Schizosaccharomyces pombe: one gene and its partner. Changing the gene in region 1 together with any one later gene gives a genetic interaction. Each region holds a gene or a part of one and is shown on either strand. Other genes may lie near its edges.

What was found.
Region 2: mutations in SPOM_SPCC24B10.02C (region 1) and tbf1 together harm fitness less than expected from each alone (positive genetic interaction), as found in Schizosaccharomyces pombe (one large-scale study listed by BioGRID).

Annotation. Positions count from the first base shown.
Region 1 is NC_003421.2:902,783-909,922, forward strand, and holds SPOM_SPCC24B10.02C (NAD/NADH kinase), read right to left. Parts: upstream 2,305-7,140; 5' UTR 2,118-2,304; coding exon 768-2,117; 3' UTR 501-767; downstream 1-500. Other genes in the region: mcm4 (MCM complex subunit Mcm4/Cdc21), read left to right, coding at 1-355; SPOM_SPCC24B10.03 (uncharacterized protein), read left to right, coding at 3,539-3,682, 3,870-4,112; protein Mrpl50, read left to right, coding at 4,904-5,503; Tim9-Tim10 complex subunit Tim9, read left to right, coding at 6,195-6,272, 6,507-6,683.
Region 2 is NC_003423.3:2,363,987-2,382,234, forward strand, and holds tbf1 (DNA-binding factor Trf1), read left to right. Parts: upstream 1-9,938; 5' UTR 9,939-10,187; coding exon 10,188-11,645; 3' UTR 11,646-11,753; coding exon of another isoform or gene 11,754-12,461; 3' UTR 12,462-12,501; downstream 12,502-18,248. Other genes in the region: arrestin-related substrate adaptor for RhoGEF, Art1, read right to left, coding at 293-1,744; SUMO deconjugating enzyme Ulp1, read left to right, coding at 3,131-4,837; pdc2 (topoisomerase II-associated deadenylation-dependent mRNA-decapping factor), read right to left, coding at 5,078-5,204, 5,260-5,430, 5,469-7,257, 7,365-7,465, 7,521-7,597; SPOM_SPBC19G7.18C (uncharacterized protein), read right to left, coding at 8,086-8,625, 8,672-8,742, 8,791-8,938; COG complex subunit Cog5, read right to left, coding at 11,754-12,461, 12,502-12,574, 12,624-13,078; nucleoporin Nup44, read left to right, coding at 14,049-14,064, 14,109-15,304; TOM complex subunit Tom5, read right to left, coding at 15,763-15,803, 15,857-15,899, 15,951-16,016; transcription elongation factor complex subunit Iws1, read left to right, coding at 16,677-17,963. UniProt on the Schizosaccharomyces pombe protein: Binds the telomeric double-stranded TTACAGG repeat and regulates telomere length.

The DNA of each region.
Region 1 (7,140 bases):
TGAGGTAGGAGATGTTCTTGAAGCTGCTCGCTTGATTAAGACCGCTATTAAGGATTATGCAACTGATCCTGCAACAGGAAAGATTTCTCTTGACCTAATTTATGTTAATGAAAGAGAGACTTTGGTACCTGAAGATATGGTCAAAGAACTGGCGAATTTAATTTCAAATTTAACTGTGGGTGGAAAAACTATGTTGGTCAGTCAATTGTTAACTCGGTTTCGTGAGCAGAGTTCTACTCGCTTAGATGCTTCTGATTTCGAAGCTTGTCTGGGTGCTTTGGAAAGGCGAGGACGTATTAAGGTTATTACCAGTGCTGGACATCGCATTGTACGTTCAATTGCACAGACTGATTAATTTTTTAGCGAATAAGCTGGTATTATTCATGAGCCATAAACCATAGGTCGTTGTTGAAAATCAAAGACTACAGAGCATAATACGAATGTCTTTCTTGTTATATATACACACGTTCTTTTTGTTATAAAAATATTTTACATATTTATCGAGGGATCCTTAACATTCATTTTTCTTTTTTTTTTCGGCTTTTGAGTATGAACTGAACAATGAGTAAACATTATGAATATAAATTCGTTAATACCAAAGTTGAAATAATAATAATAATAATAATTAACATAAACTTTCAAAAAACTAACAGATATCTAAACAATCGTAACCAATAATTCGCCATGATTCGTAGAGGCAGTGTGTGCCTAATTTTAAGTATTTTCAACAGTAGTCAGATGTCATTAAAAGAAAAATGGATAGCAATTTAACCATCAATGTCTGCAGAAAATTCTCTGCAATAGGAATTATCTGTAATATCAAATTTATCGTCACTTGTATCCTTAACATCACTCAAGCTTGGTTTTCTAGAAAAGGGCTTTTGACGCTCACGCACATTCCAATTGAATTTATCTTCTAATACCTTGGTCCATTGGTATCCTGGATTTTGAATGGTTGTGAAAGGGTAATGAGACGTAACAATTGATAAATAGTCGCCTCTATGCATCTCCACAGATTCATGACGGTCAACGGAAAAGAATGCACTACTTCGAGAATCCAAAGGGATCTCAACGTTCAAAACATTGTAATCTGGTAAAATAATAGGACGGAAAGAAAGCGTATGAGGACAAACTGGTGTTACTAAAATCGCATTTAGTGCAGGATGTACCAGAGAACCACCAGCATTCGCTGAGATGTTGGTGGATCCTGTAGGAGTAGCTACAACAAGTCCATCAGCTTGAACCACAGTCATAAGTTCGGAATTGTTGTAAACATTCAAGTTACTAATAAATGGATGTTCTCCTCTACTAATGAGTATTTCATCAAGAGAGTATGTTGTGGAAGCCAAAGAATACTGCTTAGTTTTTTCATCGTATTTATGAAAAGAGCACTGAAGCCGCGAACAAAACCTGAGTGACACGTTTTGAGTTAAGACCTGATACAAATGCTGCTGATAGTTAGATAAACTAAAATGAGTCAAAAAACCAGGGACATCATCATCGGAAAAGGAAAGAACAGGTGGCCCAATTTTTTGAAATAACCACGATGTGTACAATAATGTAGAGTTGTCGCCAATTGTTATAGCTAAGTCAAAAATACTTGGTTTAATCAAACAAATATACGGATTCCAATACTTGATCCGGTCAATGTCGGTATTTGCTTCTTTAGCGATGTTATGAGCAGAGAAGCGCTTGGAACGAGCTAGTCTCATATCCACATATACCTTGGTTTCCGGTGTTCCGATTGTGAGTATATATTTTGTGATTTCTGCCGTCTTGTAAACTAACGAATGCTTTCGAGGTTTCGTTACAACTAGTATATTCTTTGGTTCCAAGGCAAAGGAGCCATTCGCAACCTCATTATACATAAGCCTGGAAGCAACCACATTCTCTATATGCATCGCAGAGGAATTAGAAGTCCTAGATTCTTGATGAAGCTCACCAAAGGGAGGATGAGCGGGTGAAGGGAGGTTAGAAGTTGCCAATTCTCCAACCGGTGTATTTAGGCCCGACAAATCAAACTGCATTGAGGAATTCGACAAGCTGTCAGCACTGCATTGTCGAAAATGAAGATTTTTTTTCTTCAGCTTGTTTATTTCCTCAACTTTGGTAGCCATTCTGATTTTCTAAAACGAAATACCAAGCTTATCCTACGATGTTCGCTGCAGCTACTAAACAGTCCAATTTGGATTAGTCAAGTCCCTCCAATTTCCAGGTTCAACAATATTGTATCTACAAGTATAATCGAGTGGAAAGAGATTAAATATTGCTACATATGAATGTGTAGGTATCTTGGTAAATTCTAAGAGCTGAGTTTACGTAACATGAGCAGCATGTCCTCACCACCAATTTCATAGTTTTGATGAAGAAATTTACTTGATGATTTTATATAAATATAAAGGCTCAATAAATATTATTATGATACTTTATGGAAATGTATATGTACGAATGATTTTGATGTAAACGTTTGTGATAAGTTTTTAATTTTCAATACTTTTATTTTTTGATGCTTTAAAACAAATAAACCACTCTCTTTAACAATAGTATCACCTAATACTATACATAGACGTTTTCTACTTCGTTTTATTATGATTGTGCTTAAAAGCGTTTCGTTTTCTAACATTGAGCGAACCTGTTTTTGCTCAAGTAATTAAGCAAGGGCTGTTTTGGCTGCAGATTCTCTATTTTTCCAACGCTACAATCAAAATGATTAGTAAAAGGATAGTAGATGGCCCTTTCTACAAGCATTCAATGCACAAGGTATATCAAATTCCTAACAATCAAGCGGTGGAATAGTGCAGATTCAATTGACTTTTTATTTTTCTGTTTCATTTATCTCAATCTTATTTTTCTCTAATCTCTCATACATTGATATTTTGTTAAGATGATGAAGTCTTGAAATTAGATATGCAATTCACATATCGTTGATATCCAGCAGTGTTGGGCGGAACGCGAATGAACATTTTCGTCAATTACCAAGTACAAGGAATGTTTTGTTATTTGAAAATTTTTTTTAAATCACTCGCGATGCGGAATGCATGAAAAGCTAGCCCCATTAAATTTAGATATTCAAACTTTATAAATGATGCGTTTCTAGCTTATTCTATCTGTTCTTACTCTTAAATGATTAATTTCAGAGAGTATAGGTGCCTCCATTCTATAACAATTTAATTTAAAAAACTGTTTTGAGGTTTCATCCGAACATTTTGCTATGCAGCTTGTTTATTACTCATTTACATTTGTATTTGCTAATATATTTTGGTCATTGAGTATGTTTATTGACAAATCAATTCTTCAATTTACAGCCTAACTTGAGGAATGTTTTAAGTTATGCCTAATGTATTAGATCCTAGTTAATCAAATGAAATAATGTAAATTTCTTCGTAATAAAATTTGTATATGATTCATTTTTAATAATATTATAACAAAATAGAATTAAAAAAAACCCCCAATTACTTATGCTTGTTTGCGATTGCATTGATGATTTAAGAATCCGTTTCGCTACCGCTTCAATTCTCTTTTTTCTCTCCCTCCTGAAATGGATGCTGATGATTTTGGCAAAAAAGACCTAGAAAATGGGAATGAATCTCCTAAAAAACCCATATTCATGAAGGATTGGAAAAATTCACAACCGAATGAGCAAGGACGCTGGTTACATTTAGATGCTAGAATGAATCGAAATGTATGGTACTAAACAGCATAAGCACAATTATTAATTTTGAACACTCATTATAATCTGTGTAAATTTTAATCAATTGACTATTATTTCACTCTATTTTTAATACTTTAAAAGAATGAGGATTGTGCAAATCGAAAATTGAATAAATATGTAAAAGGAGTACATACTAACCCATTTATTATTTTTGTAGATTGAAGACCTTGAAATTTCTAATTACAATTTACGATTGATGAACGAACAGTTGGAATCACAATTACTTTCTCTTAACGTTAAGCCGGTAGTCAGCTTTGCTGAACAAGGTAAGTCGTCAGAATCGAAGACGGATGAAGAGGGATTTATCCTTAATTCTGCTTCCAACGTTTTGGATAACTTTATTTCAATTGTAAATGAACTTGTTCAGCACGCAGAAGATGTCTTGGACGACTTGGGTTGAATATTTTCAGTGGAGATAATTAAGGATTTTTAAGGGTTTGGAATGGTGCATCGTATTTTAATTAATGTTACGAGTTCTAAAAAGTAAGTAGATTGCTTAACTCGATGTCATCTGTTTACTCAACTTGCTGAGTTTAATATCTTTCTTTGATTAAATGATTACATTCACAAAAAGCCGGGTTTTACAGTTTTTTCTTGATATTTTTAATTTTGTTTATGCGAAGATGATTTCTTAGCTTGTTTGCCTAATTAAGTCTGCTAAACGATCGTGCTTTCATATAATTAAGTCTCGTTTGAATCTTTTGTGAGGCTGTTATTTTAATAATAAGCCCTCAAGTTTAAGTTCGTAAATATATAGGGAAAGCATTTCATTTTTTTACTTCGTCTTATTCTAGTATGTCAATTGATCGTTTACATGGTCTGTATTTCTTGCAGCATCAAAATTACACCATACTAAAAAGTAAATATACTATACAATATCTTTTTGTAATAATATTTTCGGTGCTCTTAAATTTGTAACGCAAGATTTAGCCTGTTTTGGGCATTCAGTCCTAACCCGATAAAATCAAAGAAAGGTGAAAAGTGATAGTAAGGATAATATAATTAATTATAGCAAAAGCAAAAGGAACGTACTTTTTAATTTCAATGAAATTCTGCAAAGTACCACAACTTCAAACCCACCTACTACTCGTTAATTGCCTCTCTATAACCTTTCCTAATCCCCCAATTTGTTCAAATTTCATTGCAATCCTCTCTTTCTTACTTTCAAATGATACATAATAGCCTTTGATAATGTTTTCTAGAAATTTTACAACCCCGTCAATTCGAATTTACCTCAATTCTTGTGTGTCTCACCGATCATTTCATAATACTACCGTTTCCCAAAGTTGGTTAAGTAGAATACGCGATCGTTTTCGTGGAACGAAGGAAGATGAAAAAAAGCAAATTGCTGACAAAGATATGGCTGCCATGAAAGTCGTGATACCTCCTAAAAAGAGAGTTTCAAAGTGGAAGGATATACAGCTGTTTGAAAAATTCGCAGAACCCTCATTAAACAGGGAGGATTCACTTAAGATGATTAACGAAATTAGGAAATCGCTTCAGCTTCAAACACCCTGGTCTCCAGAAGCACGTTTACAAGCAGTAAAACTAGCATATCAAAAAACTGGTAGGATCGTGTATGATGCCCCTCTCCAAAATATACATAATTGGGATGATTTATATAACTACTACGATAAAATAGTAGATTATGGAGACACTACACTTCATGGACGTTTGGCTTGGAAGCCGACACCTGGTTTGATGTCGCTTCCCAATGTAGTTTTGCATGTTGATGAAAATGGTTATCCTTTGGAGAGAAAAAAAAGAAGGTTAAGCCGAAGCGTAGCTTAGTTTTGTTTTTAACTTCTATTTACGACAATTGTTATGGGTCCTGCTCTCCTTTTCAATTTGTTGTGTATATGAAGGTTATTTGCAAGATGAGTGAAGTTTTTTATAATCCTTTCTTTTACATTCGTTTTTTATATAACATCGACTCTCAAACATTTTGTTCTGATGTTTTTTTGACATTTAAAGTTACAAAACTTGTTCGTTTACACATGATTAATACAAGCAAGCCATTGTACCGCCGGAAACAGGTCGCATAAAATTGATAGTATTTATGAGTAATTCAATATTGCTTAACCGTTACAAAGTGGTGCACCAACATTTCGTTATGGTAATGCTTTCTCTGTGCTTTTGTGGTACATTTGAACTGTGATTATTAATTCATTCAGTAAATTACTATGGAATAAATGTAAAAATTTAATAACAATTTGTTGTTGATAAAGCTTTCAATCTATAAGCTGGTAGCTTTGAAATTTGCTCAGCAAATTTAAGTAAGGGCAAGAGAGTGTATATATATTCTCAAAAGTTGAAAATTTTTTAAAACAAAGTAGATAAAAGTATTAAATATAGCCTTCATTTTGGAATTGGTAACTCTTTAAGTTCACTTCTACTTCACTTACACTATGGTTTACTGGCTGCTTCAATCAGTAACCCACCACTTCTTTGATCCAACGTTTTCAAGTAGAATACAGCCTTAATGGATCGTTTGAACGTTAAAGAACAGGAGCACCTTACTCAAGTTTTGGAAGCTAAGCAATTAAAGGAATATCTTAACGTATGTACTTGAATTTTAGAATGTGTGGTTTTAAGTTTTGTGAAGGCTATTTAAATAGTTGAATGAAAAAACTTAGTAAGCAAACGTTTTATTTATTTGTTCAATTTAATCTTGGATTGCCTTAAGTTTTTTATATCCATTATAAAGATGTCTTTTGAAGCATTCTCAACTCCAACCTTCACATTTTCTTCCAAATGTTCGCTTTCATTGATTAGATATTAACATGAATTATAGATGTATTCTACTTTGACTCAAAATTGCTTCTCAGATTGTGTTCAAGATTTCACCAGCTCCAAGTTGAGCAACAAAGAGTCTGAATGTATTGCAAAATGTGCCGACAAATTTTTAAAACACTCTGAACGTGTCGGTCAAAGATTTGCTGAGTTCAATGCCAAATACATGGGTCAGTAAATTATGCATGATACGCCAAACACATATCCGAGGTACGGTGTAATTGGAAACTCCTTCATCATCTAACTACACATGCTTATCTGTTTTCAGTGGTTTAACAAGGGTGCATTATACCTCCTGCTTAAAAAATCTAAAAGATGGTTTATTTGTTCAGTACACTTTCAGAGATGTGAAGTTGTCTGGGCTTTTTTTATTCTTAAAATGAAATGATTTTTGTTCTTCAAATTTGGACCATTTATTAATATTGACGTTAAGGTTTATAGACAAGACTTGTATGTATAGACCCTTCTTGTTTTTAAATGGCTAGTACAAATCATGATTTATTTGGATCCTCATTACAGTAATCGATGACTATAGATTTATGAAACTTGTAAAAAAGTACGTCTCTTTCTTTTTCAAATCTCCCTCTTTATTTAAATCTTAAGCACTAGCTAAAAGACACTCCTGCTTTGCAATT
Region 2 (18,248 bases), on another chromosome or scaffold:
GAATAAATAAAACAATGAAGACATATTCAATAGAAATTGATTTGATGTCGAAGAACAGGAATACTTTTTAAAACAAAACAAAAACAAGAAGACCATTATTTTTACTCATAGCTTTTGAAACCAAACAAAAAAACGAGGGACAAATAAATAAACAAAGTGGGTATTTAATTGCAAACCAAAGGCTTGCAAATATCGAAAAACACAGGGAAATACAGAGGTAAGGCTTATGATCAACAATATCGGGATTTACATTTGTAGTAAAGCACAGATTGAGCTTGAAAAATGTAACTTCCTAAGATAACAGGACAATGTCATCATTCAAATAAGCAAACATATTATTTTTGGAAAAATCTGAAGCTCGCACAATCCTAACGTTTTCTTCGAGGACAACGCCTCCGTGGCTTTGGCGAACGTCAAGGACTCGGGTTTGAATTTCATTAAGTAAGGCTTGACTTCGTGATCGTTCCACTGGGGAAACAATAATTGGGTTTGTTATTTCAATGTTTCTAGCACGATATAATTGTACTTTGATGACTAGCATGTATTGTACAGAGTAAAGATCAGAGGTGGTCGTGAATCCAGTGATATTTGCATCTTCAAAATCAATGTCGGGGAAAGGTTTAGAAAGGCTTTTCGATAAACCTTCCGATGTAAGTTTCATATCATCCAAATCTTCTTCGTAACGTAATACTTTCTTTTTACGAACTATTGGGCTTGAAGAAGAGGGATGTATGAACGTGATGTATTCAACCAAGGAAAGAGAAAGTTGCTGTACTCGTATTTTAGAACCATTATTAGGCATGATGGAAACGAAGACGGAGACGAGATCCGAAGGTCCAATACACAGTTTGGGTATTGATACCTCTACTACAACACGACCATCGCTACTCACTTGCCGAATATTAGTAGGGGAATTATACATCCCCCAAGAAGATAGATTATCATACCTGCTGAGTGACACTGGTACAGTGGTAGTAATATCCGGTACCCCTAGTAAACTCATGTGAGCACGTAGTTCATATTTCGTGGAGCATATTGTACCAGACCGATTCAATTCAAAAGTCGATGGAATTTCTGAATTTTCGGGAAACGGGATTTCAAAGGGAAGGTCCATTGACCATACCCTATGAGTAGCGTAAGGATCTGAAGAAGAAGAGAGTATAGGAGTTTGGTCACCAAAAGGAGTGATAGATGTGTCATTAGAGGAAGATGTGGTGGATACTGATCTAAACGGAGTGTAAGGAGGTTGATATACCGAAGATCCAGAGGCATTAGGAAGATGAGGTGGAGGGATAGGTGGAGTAGTACGGTTATGAGTATGAACAGAAGGATTATCCTGATCAGACGCATAAGAATCTACTATCCAATCGCTAGTAAGGGAGGGTGGAGGTGATTTGATAGACAAATCGCTGATAGAATAATTATTATCATTAGGAGGTATGTTATTTTCAGGATGCTCGGAATGAAGTGGAAACAAAACCTGCCTTGCCAGACACTTATTATCTGATAAGTGATTACTTATACCCAAGGATGGTATTACCACTGATTCAATTTTCCATAATTCTAACGTTATTTGAACCAAAGCCAAAGGTTGGTGAATTTCTTTACTTCGAACTTGGACGATACCAACCAACCTTGGAGCTGAAGTTGGTATCCCATTAAATCCAGCTTGGAAATCCAAATGTGGTAACGGACGTATCTCCAAAGGAGAAAATTGCCGTATTAGCGTACACGGGGATGTCATGCTCTTACATTTAGTGAGTTCCTCTGGCTTGGTGCTGGTTATGGGAAGTTGAATCTACCAAATGGTAGACAGGTTGGTTCAGTGCAGCAATGTCAGATCTAGATAGCTAAATAAAATCTTTTAAGCACTCGCTTAAACACTGCTAAGTGACTTTTTATAGCAATGAAATTAATAATATTTTATTATATAAAAATCTAATTTTAGGCCAAAAAATGTACTTTTGTTTCCATTCCATAGAATTAAAATCAAAAGCCTACAATTGATAGCCAAGCATCTAAAGCTAGTATCTGTTGTAAAAAAGTTCCATTTTGATTACAATAGTAAAAACTAAAATGACTTTAATAGCCTAATTTTGAAATTGGTATTTTCAACTTAAAATTCACTTACGAAAGCCTAAAATATGTTTATTCTTACAGCAGAAGGCTTTTTTTTTGAATTTTTGAATTTTTGAAACCATAACACACGATTGATCGCAACATACATATACGAAATATAGAAGAGAGACTGAATTCAAACGAAAACAATATAGCAAGATATCAGATTATTGAGCAGCAGAAGAAAGGGAAATAAAGCAAGTAAATACTATTTTACTAAAAATCAAACGAATCTCTAAAAGAACAGATATTTCACGCATAGTTAACAGACAATGCATAACAAAAAATTCAAAATCGAGAAAAACAAGAATCAAGAGCAACTGGTAATGCTAATTTTTGATAGTTATATGAGCCGTAGTATGATAAAAAACCCCGGCGATAATTGAGGAAATTCATTGCTGATGTACGACTCTTTTCTATCTAGGAAATAATGATTGTTTGAAGGATAACCTGAATATAGGGCTTTCTGTTCATTCAAAGATCCCTTCAGGAAGTGTTAAATGGTTTGTATAAAACTAACTCACATTTTCCGATTTATCTTTTCATTTTCAGGGCATATATCAGAACTTAAAACAATTTACTAGTAGCGATACGCTACCACTTACTTATTAAACGCTTAAAAGAGTAACACAGTGTACTGTCATGAATGTATATTTTATAAAAGCAATATGATATTTAATTTACATTAATATACTTGTAAGCTTCTCACGGCTAAAAGTAGTGATAGCCCACATTGAAGTAGGATTTTAGTGTAATGAAATCAAACACAGTAGGCCCTAAAGATAAACGGACACTTACATGTTAAGCAACATAATTTAAAATCTTACAAGCAAAGCTAGCGGCTCGAAAGCCAAACATTGTAATATAAACACAAAAAGTAGTTTGTTTACAGTAAATACCGCAATACTCGTATAACGAGGTATTTTCACAACGTAAGCAAGAACGCGCTCATCCTTCCAGGTTGTTGTGTGTCACAGCCTCTCGCGATTCACCCTTTACAATTCACTCGTGAATGATAGGAAAACGCAATGCGTCAAAAAGGACGCGTCAGGATGATTGTATTACATATGAAGAGTATCAAAGGAAACGTAAAAAGACATTTTTGAACACGTTTGTTAATATTTGTTCTCGTACAGTTACTTATGCAAAACTTTTTTTGACAAAAACTCCCATTTCTGAATTGGATCGCATCGCTGGCGAGGCGATACCATCTAATAGTAATAGTACAAATTCAAAACTAGAGCCTTCTACTAAAGCCCCTGAATCTCGGTTTTCTCACATAAATTCCAAGACTGAACGTGGTTACGTGACGGTCGAATCTGATATGTCTTCTCACAATACTCTTGACAGAAATAGTAAACCTACCGTTTCTCATTCATATACAAATTCTAGTAAGGATGAAAAATTTTTGGATCCCATTGCTCTTCAAAATCTATTTTCCCCTGCCTCTGACACGCATTCTCAAAACATCCATGACGAAGCATTATCTCCATCAAGCTTTCGTGTGTCTCGTTCGAGATACTTCCCCCGACCTCATCGGTCTTCCAAAAATTTATCTGTTAGTAATCGGTTACAGCTTGCGGTTTTTAAGGAAACAACTTCATCGACATTATCCCACGGTAATTCCGTTGAGGCTGACGAAATAAACTCTTTTAATCCTACACCTTTCTCTTCTTCTCCTCTGCACTTTACGAACTCCTCTCCAAATCCAAACTCTGACATTGTTACACCGGACAAGCAGCTAGATGTTGTTAGCGAACACGCCAGATATAAACACCTTCCTTTTACGGCTACGTTAAGAAAGAAAAGTCCTCATGATTCAACGTCTCGGAAAGCCTCTTTTAGGTTCGTTCAATCTGATCAGCAACCAGCGCGGAATATCGTTACTTCTGATATCCAAAATGAAAAATCATTACTGTTGCTAATTCGAGATTTGAAAGAAAAGCAAACAGAATCTTTTCAAGATTGGAACGAAGTTGACTTTTTACAATTAAAAGGTTTGGAAATATCTCCACCCCCCACTCGCCCCAAGTTCATTCCGGAACTTGAGTTTCCTGATAATGCTCGAAAGCGTGCACTGAAATATTTAAACCAAAGCAATTCTGTTTCCTCTTCTGAACCCATCATCACCAAATTTAATATTCCAATCACGCTTAAAGACTTGCATACTCTGCGGAATAGACAATGGTTAAATGACGAGGTAATTAATTTTTACATGAATTTGATTTCGGAACGCTCTAAAATTGATTCATCCTTACCTCGGGTACATGGGTTTAATACTTTTTTTTATACATCTTTGCAGCGCCGTGGATACGCGGGTGTTCGAAGATGGGCCAAAAAGGCACGCGTTAATATTGCAGATATGGATGCTGTATTTATACCAGTACATCTGGATGTCCACTGGTGTATGGCTGTTATTAACAAATCGAAGAAACGATTTGAATACTGGGACTCGCTGGCCGGAAGCCCTGGTAAAGTTTTTGATTTGTTGCGCGACTATTATATTGCAGAAACAAAAGGTGCCGTCGACGTGTCAGATTGGGAAAATTTTATGGATGACAATTCTCCAAGACAACGAAATGGACATGATTGTGGAGTTTTTGCTTGTAAAACTGCTGAATGTGTATCTAGAAATGTTCCTGTTCAGTTTAGTCAAAATGATATGCCTGAACTACGAATCAAAATGGCAGCTAGTATTATTGATGCACAAATCTATTAAATATGTGCTATAAACTTTTTGTCTATATACTTATCGTTTTTTATATTAATTTCTTTCTCGTTCAATACATTTTATTTCATATTCAGCGTTTTCAAAAAGGACATAATTTACTTAAATCTATATTAGAGCGTATGCATTTTTTAAGTAGCAGGGAATACTCTAATTAATAAATCTGAATCCAGGAATCTCAGCAAATATAGCTTTTGAAAAAAAAAATACCCGCATATCTTATAAACAAACTTAAGCGCTGAGCTGACGAGCGTCGAGCCCCATTGCATTTAAAAACAAATTAACATTGCTGATGCGCACAACAGCAATTTCAGAAGGTGCCCGTTTGCTAGTAATGATGTTATCAAGTACTCTGTCCCTATTTTTTACATATTTGTTAGTACAAAAACTCGACTAGACATATTTTAACGTACCTAGTTTCAGAAACCAATGTAAAATGTTGTTCAGAGCTAGCAGCAGTAGCACAAGCTGCTAAGAATTCCCATGGATAAGATTCATCAGCATAAGCTCGAGCGTTAGGTGGTGGGAATACCGTCGAGAAATGACCTTTTACGCGATTAAACATAACATTGAATGTATTTTCCCTAAATAGTTAGATGCTGTAAATACATGTATAACGTACCATTCTTCTTTTTCATTTTGATTTACAGTGCCAGATTGCTTTAAAATTTCTGCGCGACTAATGAATAGAGTAAGGAACGACAAACCAATCTTCGTCTGTATTAAATAAACAGCATTAGTGCGATTGAGAAGTTGAGAAAATAAGTTATTTATAGTTTCCAAATCAAGTTCATTAACAATAGTGAGCAATGGAGGGATGATGAACTGCGTGAAAGAACTCATTTCGGAAACAACGTCCAAAGGCAGCTCACCGTTAACGTCAAATGTTCCCCTAAGGACTATATCAAGAGAATCAAAATTGTAAACTACGACCTTTAAAATCGAAATTTGTTGCTCTTTGGACAAATGTGGGAACAAGCGAGGTAGCAGCCTCATTCCTTTGGGGTGAGAAATTATAGAAATGAATGGAGGCCTAGTCTTAGAAGATGCTTCCAATGATTCATTTATGTATAATGCCTTCCAAATGGACTCCAATTTCTCGCTTAAAGTAGTTTTCCATGTATCTATTTGCTCCTGATCGGTAGTTTCTAGCGTTGAGGCTTTACGGAGGGCTTGCTCAAAGTCAAGCAACAAGTCATAAACTTTCTCAATAGCGTGCAATACATCCTTCTTCGTAGAAAATCCAGAAAAATTGTTTAATGATGAATTTGAAGATGCTGGTTCGGTAGGACGTTTAACATTCAACAATTGTCGTGGTGTGCGAACAGTATTAACAGCAATTTTACCAAGAGCACCTTCTAAAGACAACTGAGTTGCCTTAGGGCGCTCTTTGGCAGAAGAAACCAAACGCTGAAGTTGCTGTTGTAATTTCTGCATAGGATTTTCGGAGCGACGACCACGACGGCGATTATTGCTAGGTCCTAGATAAGTCTGTATAAAATGACTGGCTTCTTCCTCGGAAGGCTTGCGGCCTCGAATAATTGAGTAAACGCGATAATAAAAATCATCAGATTCGGGATCCTCCGACATCAATTGCGATATTTGAATTCTCGCAATAAACGATTTATCACTGCGTGTCATTAACCCAGCACATTGAGCCATGAGCATATGATCACGCTCTAACTTTTGACGTTTTTCATCAAGGTTCTGGTTTTGAATTAATTGTTCCTGCTGGAAAAGATTAACAAGGGAAGCAGGAGGAGCAACACTTGGGTTGTACATGCCGTTTTGAGGATATGGCATTTGAGGTACAAGGGAAGGTTGCATAACAGGATTGGGTATAGCTTGCGAAGGATGTACCATATTAGGAGCAGCTAATCCAGCAAAATCAGTTGTAGTGCTAGGGATGTTTGGTTGACCAAAAGTAACATTACCAATACTAGCCGCACTAATCGCCGGGTCCAATGAAGAGATGTTTTCTCGAGTTACTTGAGCAGCCATTTCGGATGGAACAATGGGAATAGCGGGTTGAGAAGGTGGTTTTGGAGCGGTCATTGAGTTCAATAACTGTTCCTCCAACTCCTGCAAGCTAAAAACCTTCTCAGATGGTTGGGCACCCAAACGATCTTGAAGAGAGGCTACCTCAGGTGGAATAATAGCCGGCTTTTCTGGAACAATATTTTCCCAAATCGAAGCCATAGGCTGCAAATCGGAAAGCTTATTGATCGCAGTAGACGCAGGTTCCCGTGAAGGAAATTGTGAAGCACCATTAAGTCTACTAACTTGAGGTAACTCTGAAGAAGCTGGTTTGACAGGTTTAGCGAAAATATTTTGTTGATTAATTTGGTACTGCTCATCTTCCAATTGTGCAGATGCTTGAGCGGTAGTACCTGAAAAATCAAAATCACGTCCTAGAATTGTGAGAAAAAATATTAAAATATTAAATACTAATAGCTTGCAATATCCCAGATATGACAGCCGAGAATGATTACAGAATCACAAGCACAAAGGTACATACCTATACTTCCAGCGCTAACACCAAAAGTCTCGTCGTTTAGTTCATCTCCGGCTTCATTTAATTGATTACCCAAATCGTCGTAGGTCTCCTCAAAGTCAATGCTAAATATACTTGTGAGCTTAAAGTATCATATTTACATTAATATTAACGACTTACCCATCCTCTTCTAACTGCCCTTCGTTAGGAAACATATTTTCCTTTGGAAGGGTAGTATTAAACCCAAAAAATGACATTTTATGGGTTTATGGTAATGAGAAGTTGGTGGTAGCTAGGTGGGCGGCACTGCATACAACAATACTCATGACAGTAGATTGGGTTGGTTCGACGCAGACTGATTCATGGCGTTTTATATATATTTTTACTTTGCGTTCTTTTTTTATATCTGAATTTTAAAGTTGTTATTTGGTTTGCTATACCAGTAAATCTATCCCTATTTTATTTCACATCAATCTTCAAGACTAGCTATTAAAACCTATCACGTATAGATGTATATCATAAATATGAATTTAAATTTATCTCTTTTTGAAAGACTGAAATGTATCGAAATTTATGCATGAACATACATAAGTTGCTTGCTCAAGCAAGCTACATCAATCTGGCAATGCAGTATAGAAAAAAAGAAATATCTACTAAATTTAACTACTTTACATCATAAATTCAGTGACACTCAAATTGGTAAAAATTAATTTTAAATTATCGTAACATGTAGAGATAAAGGAAATTATTTGGAAGACGATGAATCATTCCAGATCAATTGATCAAATGCCTCCTGTTCGTGAGAAATAGGTTCATCCAACTGTTCAGAGCCTAGATTAGAAGTTCGGGAAGGAAATGCTTCAGAATTTTCTTGTCCACTAAAAGCACTATCTGTGGATTTAACACTCGAGTCTTCTTCGTAAAATGGAAAAGAATTGTTACCGGTATTTCGATTACGGTTACGAATAGCTTCCCATGCTGACGCTGGCTTTGATCGATCTTCAAAGCCATTGTCTTTAGAGTACATGGCGTCCTCTTTCTCCGTACTCTGTGAATTCGTAAAGGGATCTTGACTAGAAGAGGCACCAGTATTCGGCATACTTCCAGGTAATTGATATTTTGAGTTTTTTGGAGGGAATTCAGAAGATGAAGAAGGAAATCTGCCTTGTCGCATCGTTGTTCTTTGTCGAATAAGGGAGTCTTGTATTTTGCGAAGTATTTCAAAGCCATCATCTCTTTGACGTATAGCCGACAAATTGTATGCCAGAGTAGTAATCTGAGCAACCTATTCATAATTTGTAAGCTTGAGCTTAGTATTACTTAAAACTTACCCCATTTCCAGCAAGACCTCCTATAATTGATGTTGCATACAAGCGGATTGGAGTAACCTTTTTGTTACGAGCTAAAAAATAAGAAAGTTATTTTCAATTGCTTGTTCGAAATCTCATACCTAAGTATAATGGGAGAGAAAACCCGACTAGCATCCCAAAAATCGTATTTCTTTTGACACGGTATTTTGCATGATTTAGAAATTCCTTTTGGTCATCACTGAAATGGTTTTGAGGATCATTTAACATTCGTTCCCAAAAAAAATCCATGATAATAAACGTTGGAAGCGATTCCTGAGGCTACACAATAATGTCAAGAATATGAAACGTGCTTATACGGGTTATGTTAGCGAAATAAATGTAATTAAATTATTTGCGGACTGTACAATTTAACCCAATATATAAAAATTTGAGGCCTTTCTAATGTAAAAATACTACTACTAAAAGGTAATAGTACTCATCACTTGTTGCCTTATGGATAGTTTGGATACTGATGTAAGAGGATGTGAATAAGGAGAATCTCTAGGGATTAGGACCATCTAAATTTCCCAGCTACTACAGTGATACTTGGCATGAATAAGAAATACGTATCTGAATAAAAATTTGACACACAAGATTGTTCTGTTGAAATTTCTTATGAAACTGATAGACTGAATTTTTTTTGGCTGGTAAGCACTTGTGATGAAATATGCAACTTTTTCGAACTACGTTTTACATTCCATCTTTCAATGAAACAGACCTTGGTGGCATCAATTCGTGGTATACGATTGTTTTGAATTTTAATATTGCAAGCATATATGTTCAACAGGAATTTCCCAGTTGTTAAATAAGTCTATATCGTATAATTCTTTGTCATTAACCGTATTTATTCATTTTGAACTAATTTAGCACAGAATTCTATCTCGTAAATTAAACAAGCGCCACTGCATTTTACACAGCTAACGAAAAATACAAGAAGGCAATTGAGAAATAGAGAAATAGATGCAATACAGACTTGGTCTTTTTTTTTAAAAAGTTTTGCCAATTTAGACGGATTTTGTATCTAATATGTAGGAACTACTAGTAGTAGTTACAGCTTATTCATTAGTTAATAATGTCCAGATATCGCTTCTACAAAGGAATGAAATGTTGATAAAATTAGTAAAGAAATACAACGATATAATGGTATTTAACACATCTGGCTTATTGGAATTCGTTAATAAAAATAACGAACGCCAATGAAGTGAAATATGCAAGAGATTTTTTATTACGAGTCAATTAAATATACGCTGTCCTAATCAATTGACACACAAATACCTGAAAACTCGCATTTGGTTGTTACTTTGCCTGCATTGGAAGGATATATTTTAAAAAACCTTGTAGTAAAGAAGAATTGGAACTTTTGATGCAAGATTTACTATTCGGTAGTCACTGGATATCGTTGCTCCTTGGATTTGTTTAGCAATCGATTAATCAGACTGCTTCTCACCTATAGTTTGTATTTTCTTTGATCAATTGAAAAACTACGATTTCCAAGAAAATGTCAAAACGATCCTTAGACCCTAGTGATGATTTTAAGGGTCAAAAACGCTTAGCGATTGATCCAGAATCAACTGCCCTCGAACAAGATCGCCAAATGTTACAACAATTATCAGAACAAAATTCTGAACTCGAGCCTCAAAATGTTGCACCAAATGCAGAAATTCCTTTAGGGTTTGATCTTTCCGGAATTCAATTTAATATGACGCCGGACTTTTATTTACGCATGAATCAAGGCATGGATTACGCTTTCAACCAACCTAATCCTATTGCTACACCTCAGCAACTTCTTCGTACATCTCTTATTCCTACTCTTGGTAACCTTAGTAACATAATTTTGTCAATTCTTGGGAAGCCAGTACAAGAGGCATCTGCCATTGTCACTAATCCAGCCTCCGAAATGGGTATGGCCTTTACCAAAGTAATGAATATGTTTCGTATGGTAAAGGACATTTATACTGAAGAATCTTTTATTTATTCCTCTGCCATTGGTATGAGGACGCCGAGTCAAAGAAGTACGACTAGACGCGCAAATCTTGCTATCTTTCTGGCAGCTGTCTATGGAGCGCTACAAATTGGATTTTTTCATTTGAATGAAAATTTTCTGGAGGTTTTTGCTCCGGACGAATCTAATATCCTCACTAATCAGGGCACTCTTTATATGGAACTCAAAACCCAAGCATATATTTCGGCTATGGCTCAGGCAGAACGTCCCAAGGGAGACATATTAAACGATCTTTTTCCCTCTGACATGGCCCATCGATTTCTTATCCGACGAAATGCTAAGCTGGATGACAAACTTACTTATGTTGAAAAGCAAATCATAGAGAAATGTACGGCTAGAAAAGAAAGATTGGCAAACTTCTCCCCACAGGAAGCTTTAAATGAAGTATATCCATGGGGGAAATTTTTAAGCGAGATTGCTTGTTACATCCATAACAATTACTCGTCTATTTCGGCCATTCCAATTCCTGCTAACTCATTCAAACGACGATCCAAGAAGAACGGATTGAGGTTTAAGGCTGGCGAAGCCGAATCATCCCCTTCAGAATCTGGTTCAGACCTGACCGATAGTCTCGCATTTGGTATACCATCTTCAACTTTTGACGGCTCCTCGGAAACACAAAATGTATCCAGTGTCGTTCTTTATGATCAGGTTCGACATATGACAAATAATAACCTAAATAACAAGCGTACGAGGCGCGTAGCCAATCGTCGATCTTGGACAAAAGAGGAAGAGGAAGCATTGCTTGATGGTCTTGATTTAGTAAAAGGTCCCCGGTGGAGCCAAATTTTGGAGCTTTATGGTCCTGGAGGCAAAAAGAGTGAAGTTTTGAAATATCGCAATCAAGTTCAGTTGAAAGATAAGGCTCGCAATATGAAACTATTTTTTCTCAAAAGTGGTCAGGTGGTCCCCGCAGCATTACAATGTGTTACAGGCGATCTTCGGCGAGATTAAGTAGTATCAGGAGTTTATTTCATTCTTGATTAAGTTTGCGATTTTTTTTTAAATACTAAAACGATTAAGCGTGAGGCATTTTATGTATAAATTATAATTATTATTAATCTATGGGTTTTTTGGTGCTAATACTCGGAGGCTATTCATTACAATTGAACATTCCCGTGTATCTTTATTTACAATTTCGGAGGATGACCTGGCAATAGCTTGTTCCACAATATGCGTAACTCGCTGAAAATCGCTTCGGAATACCCGCAAGAGTATTGGATCACGGCGATCAAGCATTTGCATTTTGCTGCTGATAGAAATTGCCAGCTCTTTGAAAAAATAGATACAAATAGTTGCACCATCAAGGATAAAATTTGGTTGCATTTGAAAATATTCTAATAAATTTGGGTAGTCTGGATTACAAATATTAGCCTTTTGAAGTGACCTTTCCCAAAAGACGCATTGTGCACCAATCTTTGAAATTTGGTACCACCCGTCTTCAAATTTGGACCATATAGTAGAATTTGCCGCTGAAGGATCTGTACTGTTATGTAGGAGTCTTCGTGTAGTGGGGGACAGTTGGAAAATCGAGTCGAATTGTATAATGGCCTTCTGTATACGAGAACTTAAAAGACGAGTTAAGTCCTGTTCTAACAAATATTTGTCTAACATATATAAAACAGAGCAAGCATTTGTAAAACCATTAGAGTTCACACTGAAAGAAAGTTGATCTTCTTGTGATAATAGATAGCTGGATGTTTCTTTTATAATTCTCGATCGATTGGTTATATTAAGTTTTAAGAGTAAAGAAACGGACGATTGTCTTTTCTACAATAATTAGCCAAGAAACAGAAAATATATTTCATACCATTAATGGAAACCGGCTTAATAATTGATCAGACTCTTGTAATAGTAAAGATGCTTGATAATAGCGTGAAAGTCTTGAATTTGTTAGCATACCAAAATCATTGAGCAAAACAATAAGCATACTTTTCATTTTCATTAATCGATCCCTGGAAAAGGGGAAATAACTTTGCTTGTATGCCAAAAAACTCCCCAAGCCAATACAAAGTCATGTATGTTGAATGCAAATTTACAATTGCCTCATGAAGGGGACCCAAATTTTCAGATGGAATGACTACCAGCGAACGAATTCTTTCATAAACCAACATCAATTGTTCTAGTTTTCCCTCGATATCTTGCAAATATGACTGAGCATTCAAAGAACTAGATACATTTTTCGTCAACGTGGTTTCCTCATGCACAATCAAATCGGTAATTTGCCGCTCTACTTCTTTGAGTGCATACCCCAACCTCTTTCTGGCGACTTCTTTGTCTTCGTTAACATCGGAGTCAGCATGAACAGAGATTAACACTCGTTCAGCCTGCGCCTTTGGATCGAAATCTGATTTTTTGTAATCTGAAAAATCATATCGAAACTCCATAACAGGAATTTTAAGCGCTTTAAACGAAATTTTTACAAGCTATTTCATAGATTTTAATGATACTTAACTTTAGTTTATTTGACGATCAATCGTAAAACGCAGAATCGATACCAAATCTTACAACGAATGTTTTGAACAAGTAAAATCCGCAATTGAACAGTGTATTCTAGCACTTCTATTCGAAACACGATAACACTACAACTTTATCCTGCAAGTATACGCTTACTTCGTCTGGTGCAACTAATGTAGTATATGAGAGCGTATACCTTAGACACTTTGACCGACTATTGTAAGTAACATGCTACTCATTCATATTCTAAAGAACAAAGAAAGAGATTTTCAAATAGAAGATTGAAAAACTTATCAATTTGAACGTTGAATTTTATCGAACCACGAAGGCTTTTAAAATTCCAACTGAAATCCGCGGCTCTAAGAGTTAGTATGGTTTCAACATACTCCTCAAGTAAACATTCGTCAGGCAGTTACAGTTTTCAAACAAAGTGACTAAAAATGCAGTAAATGTATATATAAACTACTAAAATGTAATACGAATTCATATCTTTGCTCTCAAATAAAGCAAATTTAAATTTATTGGAGTTAACGAAGAGATTAACTTACAAATTGCTATAGGAAATTGACTAAGAATATACTTGAAAAATATGCTGTAGTTTGTCTAAAAAAAATTTTACTGTGGGTATTTAATTCAAAATTTGAAGTTTCAATAAATCTCGAGAATAACAGTAATAATTTGAATTCCAAAGGAAAGAGTAAATTGAATAAAGTAGTACGCAATATATCTCAAAATTGCTATAGGGTAGCTTTCCTGAAAATAGGGCATCATTTAACGAACTTAACCGCAGACTGACTTTATTGTGAAGCTATAGCTATCACTCACTCTAGATTTTGCAACCCATCAAATAGACAGAATTTAAGAGCCAAGCTTCCCTTGTAAAAGAATTGCAAAATCGCTATGGCATTTTCTTTTGGTATGCTTTGAGATTCATCAGTTATAAGTTGCTAACGACTGTAGGTCAACAAGGGTCGTCAATAAAGGCACCTTCCATTGGCTCAACTGGCGTTTTTGGCCAGTCGAATACCACAAAACCAACTGCACCTTTCGGTTCTGGATCTATTTTTGGGTCCACAAACACTAATGTAGGTGCAGGAGGCCCTACTGGTTCTTCGTCAGCTCCACCGTTTGGAAATTCAATTTTCGGTAAAACACAACAACAGCCGACCACTTCTTTCTCCAATACTACCACCAATGCCCCACAAAGTACTGTATTTGGCCAAAACGCTGCATCAAGAACCGGCAACTCAAATACGCAACCATTATTTTCGTGGAGTACAGTCAACAATCCCACAAAACCAGTAGACGAAACCAATGCTACGATCCCTAGCAGCTTATTGCTGTCTTCAGGTATATCCCCAAATGCGACCGTGAGCAATGCTCAATATGGCCCTGCTCAACCTCCGTCCGTGGAGGAGCAAGTGCAGAAAATCTTGAATGCATGGAATCTCAACCATCCTGATTGTGCTTTTCAGCGGTTCTTTTATAACAAGGTTCCTGTTGAGCAAGCTGCACTATATGTTAAGCCTCCAAATTATAACCAACAAAAATGGGACGAAGCTGTTGCTAATCGACCAAGCAACAGTGTTGTTCCCGTTTTGGCCGTAGGATTCCCCGATGTACAAAAAAGAATTAATATGCAGATTCAACAAGTGAACACGTACCGTATTCGGATGCGTGAAATTGTTGAAACTTTAGGAAGATTAAGTAACAAACACGACCTTGATTTTAGCATCAAACTTGCCGAGGCGAAAAATCGTCACGTCCGTCTGTCTGAAAGAATTTTACGACTTGCAATTAAAGTACATGTTTTACGACATCGTGGTTATGCACTAAAACCTAATGAAGAAGAGCTACGTAAAAAATTAGATGATTTAACAAAATCGCTAAATAATCCTGAAATTTTTGGTCGGCTCAACGAAATATGGGCAAGAATTACTCTTATTTTTGAAGGAGAAAAGATATCTGAAGATCAGCGAAGTAATTTGGCTAAGGGAGTAGTGGATTGGCGAAAAAATTCTGATCAACTAGAAGTCATTACGGACGTCTTAAGGGATCATCAAGTTGGTCTTTCATATGTGGTAAAACTGATGCAAGAAGATTTAGCGACGTTGAACAAGCAATTAACTGAGCACGTTCCTCAATCACAAAAATAGCGGTAATTCCTACTTCACGTTATTTTCTGTATTTAATTAAATTAGAAACGACCAACATGAAAATCATAGTTAGGTTCCTTTTTTTATTTTTCTGGTAACCGAATTTTTTTTAAGAAATTCATCTAATTGGGAGTCAATTGATTGACAAGTGGTCCAAAAGATATTACTGACTTAAAATTACATATAACGGCGCAGCATCGCACAGGAAATCTATGAACTCTCTATACACATTTAGCTACCAGTTCAATCCATGAACGATTTCTATAATAACCATTTTTTAGTGACTTTACATTCAAAATCAAATAATTCAACCCACTCATGTAAAATTTACGACTCGATCAAGAACGGTAAAAATAAATTGTCTGATTATTTACATACAGTCGATCATAAAATTGTATTCGACGTACAATAACCATCCATTTTTATAGCACAAAAGCCAACACTTGGAATAAATGTTTTTATGCTCGCATCTTTTGAAAAAAAGAAATAACAAAAGGAGCTTATATAAAAGTTAGAAAACCAAGTGAAACCATTACAATTAAAAAAGCTTACTTAACAACAAGACAGCGGCAACTGAGGCACCCTTTTTCATTTCCTAATTATCCATTTCGTTAATATGCTATAGATACGAGAGATAATTACATACGCCGACAGCCAAATTATCATACTGCTTGATTTGCTCTTTACTAGGGCGTCCTGCACCAGAAAACATCTTTATAGTACGTTTATTAACGGTTATTCGAGAAAGAGCTTGTGTGTTTGGCAGAAGCTGGAATAAGTTGGAACATTCACCGACACAGAGAATAGCTTGAATGGTACACCTCGCATCGTTAGACATCGTTAATTATATCATGTTGTTTGTCACTATATTGTAAGCTACGCAGTTTGGTATCTGATTTAAGGATACGTAGAGCTGCGGTAAGTTTTCCTTGTGATCTATTATATTACAATACACAGGTTGTATAAGTAGCAACTGGATATAGGTATTGTATTAACTAGGTTATGATGTTACCTATCACTAATATAGCTCATAACTGAACTGAGGAACGAGGTTCAGCAGTAGCTCTATTTATAGTATTCAGATAATATAGATCTTAATAGATTATCATTAAGATCAATCTCCATATCGTATCATACATGGTACGATATATAATTAGAACATGTGACATATAGTGATACGCAAGTAGTGTATCATAGCGTAGTGTAGTATTGCTGACAGTATACATGCATTACCGAAATCTACAGTTTTTGAACAATGGTGGAGGCTACGCTAGTTCTATTTCATTACTTCTACATATTGGCGGCAGTAAACGTTGAAATTTTTTCAGACTCCCAATTCTAATTAAGTTGTCAAATTTCTGATTCTCCAAAGATGTCAGAAGAAGAAAAGGCTGAGCTTGAAAATATGCAAGTTGAATCTGAGGCAAAAACTTCCGAGAATGATCAAACCATTGATACGAAAGTAGACGTTGCTGATGTTACAACTCATGTGGATGAAGATTTAGATAATAAGGAAGAAGCCCTTGATTTCTCTGAAGATGAATTATCGGATTTGGATGAAAATCAATTTGAAAACTTTGACGAATCCAAAATCGGACGTGAAGCTGAGGAACCTACTATTTATAATCTACCTACGTTTAAGAAGAAGCAAGAGCCAAATACGATTGAAGAAAACCTTGAAGTTCCAAGGAAGGTTAGGAAAGAGCAAAAGCCACGTAGACGTCGTGGTAAGCGTTCATCGACTGTTGATGCTCTCAATGATGAATTAAATGAGCTCGGGGAGAATGAAGAAGAAGTTTTGACTGAACAAAAGCAATTGGATCCCACGCTAGCCGCAAAAAAAGAGTTGGATCTTCAAATGGACGCTGTTCTTAAGCCAACTCGAACAAAGAAGCGATCCAATGAAGACAATCTTGAACAGATGGCTGATGATGAAGTCCTTCGTCTACGCGAACAAATGCGCTTGGCTGCACTTCGTGATGCTGAATTGAATTCGGAACAACTACCGGCTACTGAGAAGTTAAAGATGCTTCCACTAGTTGATGCTGTACTTAGAAAGACCCATCTTTACGATACTATACTGGATAATAACGTCCTTGACTCCGTTCGAATGTGGCTTGAACCTTTACCAGATCGTTCGTTACCAGCGTTGAATATCCAACGATCTCTTATGGACATTTTAACAAAATTGCCCATCCAGACAGAACATCTTCGTGAAAGTAAAATAGGTCGTATTGTTTTGTTTTATACTATCTCGAAAAAGCCCGAGCCATTTATTAAGAGAATAGCTGACAACCTTGTTAGCGAATGGAGTCGTCCCATTATAAAGAGAAGTGCTAATTATCGTGATCGTGCTGTTGGTGTAGCCTCCTTTAACCCTGAAGTGTTTCAAACTCGCCGTCGTCGAGACCTTGCTGCTGCTGAAAGTAATGATGATGCCCAAGCTAGCCGTACAGGTCGTACTGTTATTCCCAGATCCATTGATTCAAGATACCAGGTTGCTCCCAGAGTTCGTCTCAATCCTACGGCCATGACTATTGCGGGACGAATGAAGCCGGCTGATACCGAACAAGTGCGAAAATTAAAGGCCAAGATGAAGGCGATTCGTAGTAAATCATCTAAAAAGAGTGGTGTTAGTATTGAAGGTCGTGGACTTTAATCATTAAAACAGGCATCACAATAATATATAATGAGTCCATTGAAAATTTTTCAATGCTCTTTCATTAGGGTCGAATTATTCATTGGGTTAATGTTACAATTTTATTTTTTCACTGTTTGTATGATGAACGCTTGTTTCCGTACCTTCTACTTATGACTTATGAGATTCATTATTAGAATTCACTTAAAAGGGATCCTTATTATTTTTGATTGTATATAATTCTCCATAAATAAAACTCTAATTTTTATCCTCACTCCTTCATTTTAACTATTTCAATTAATTTCA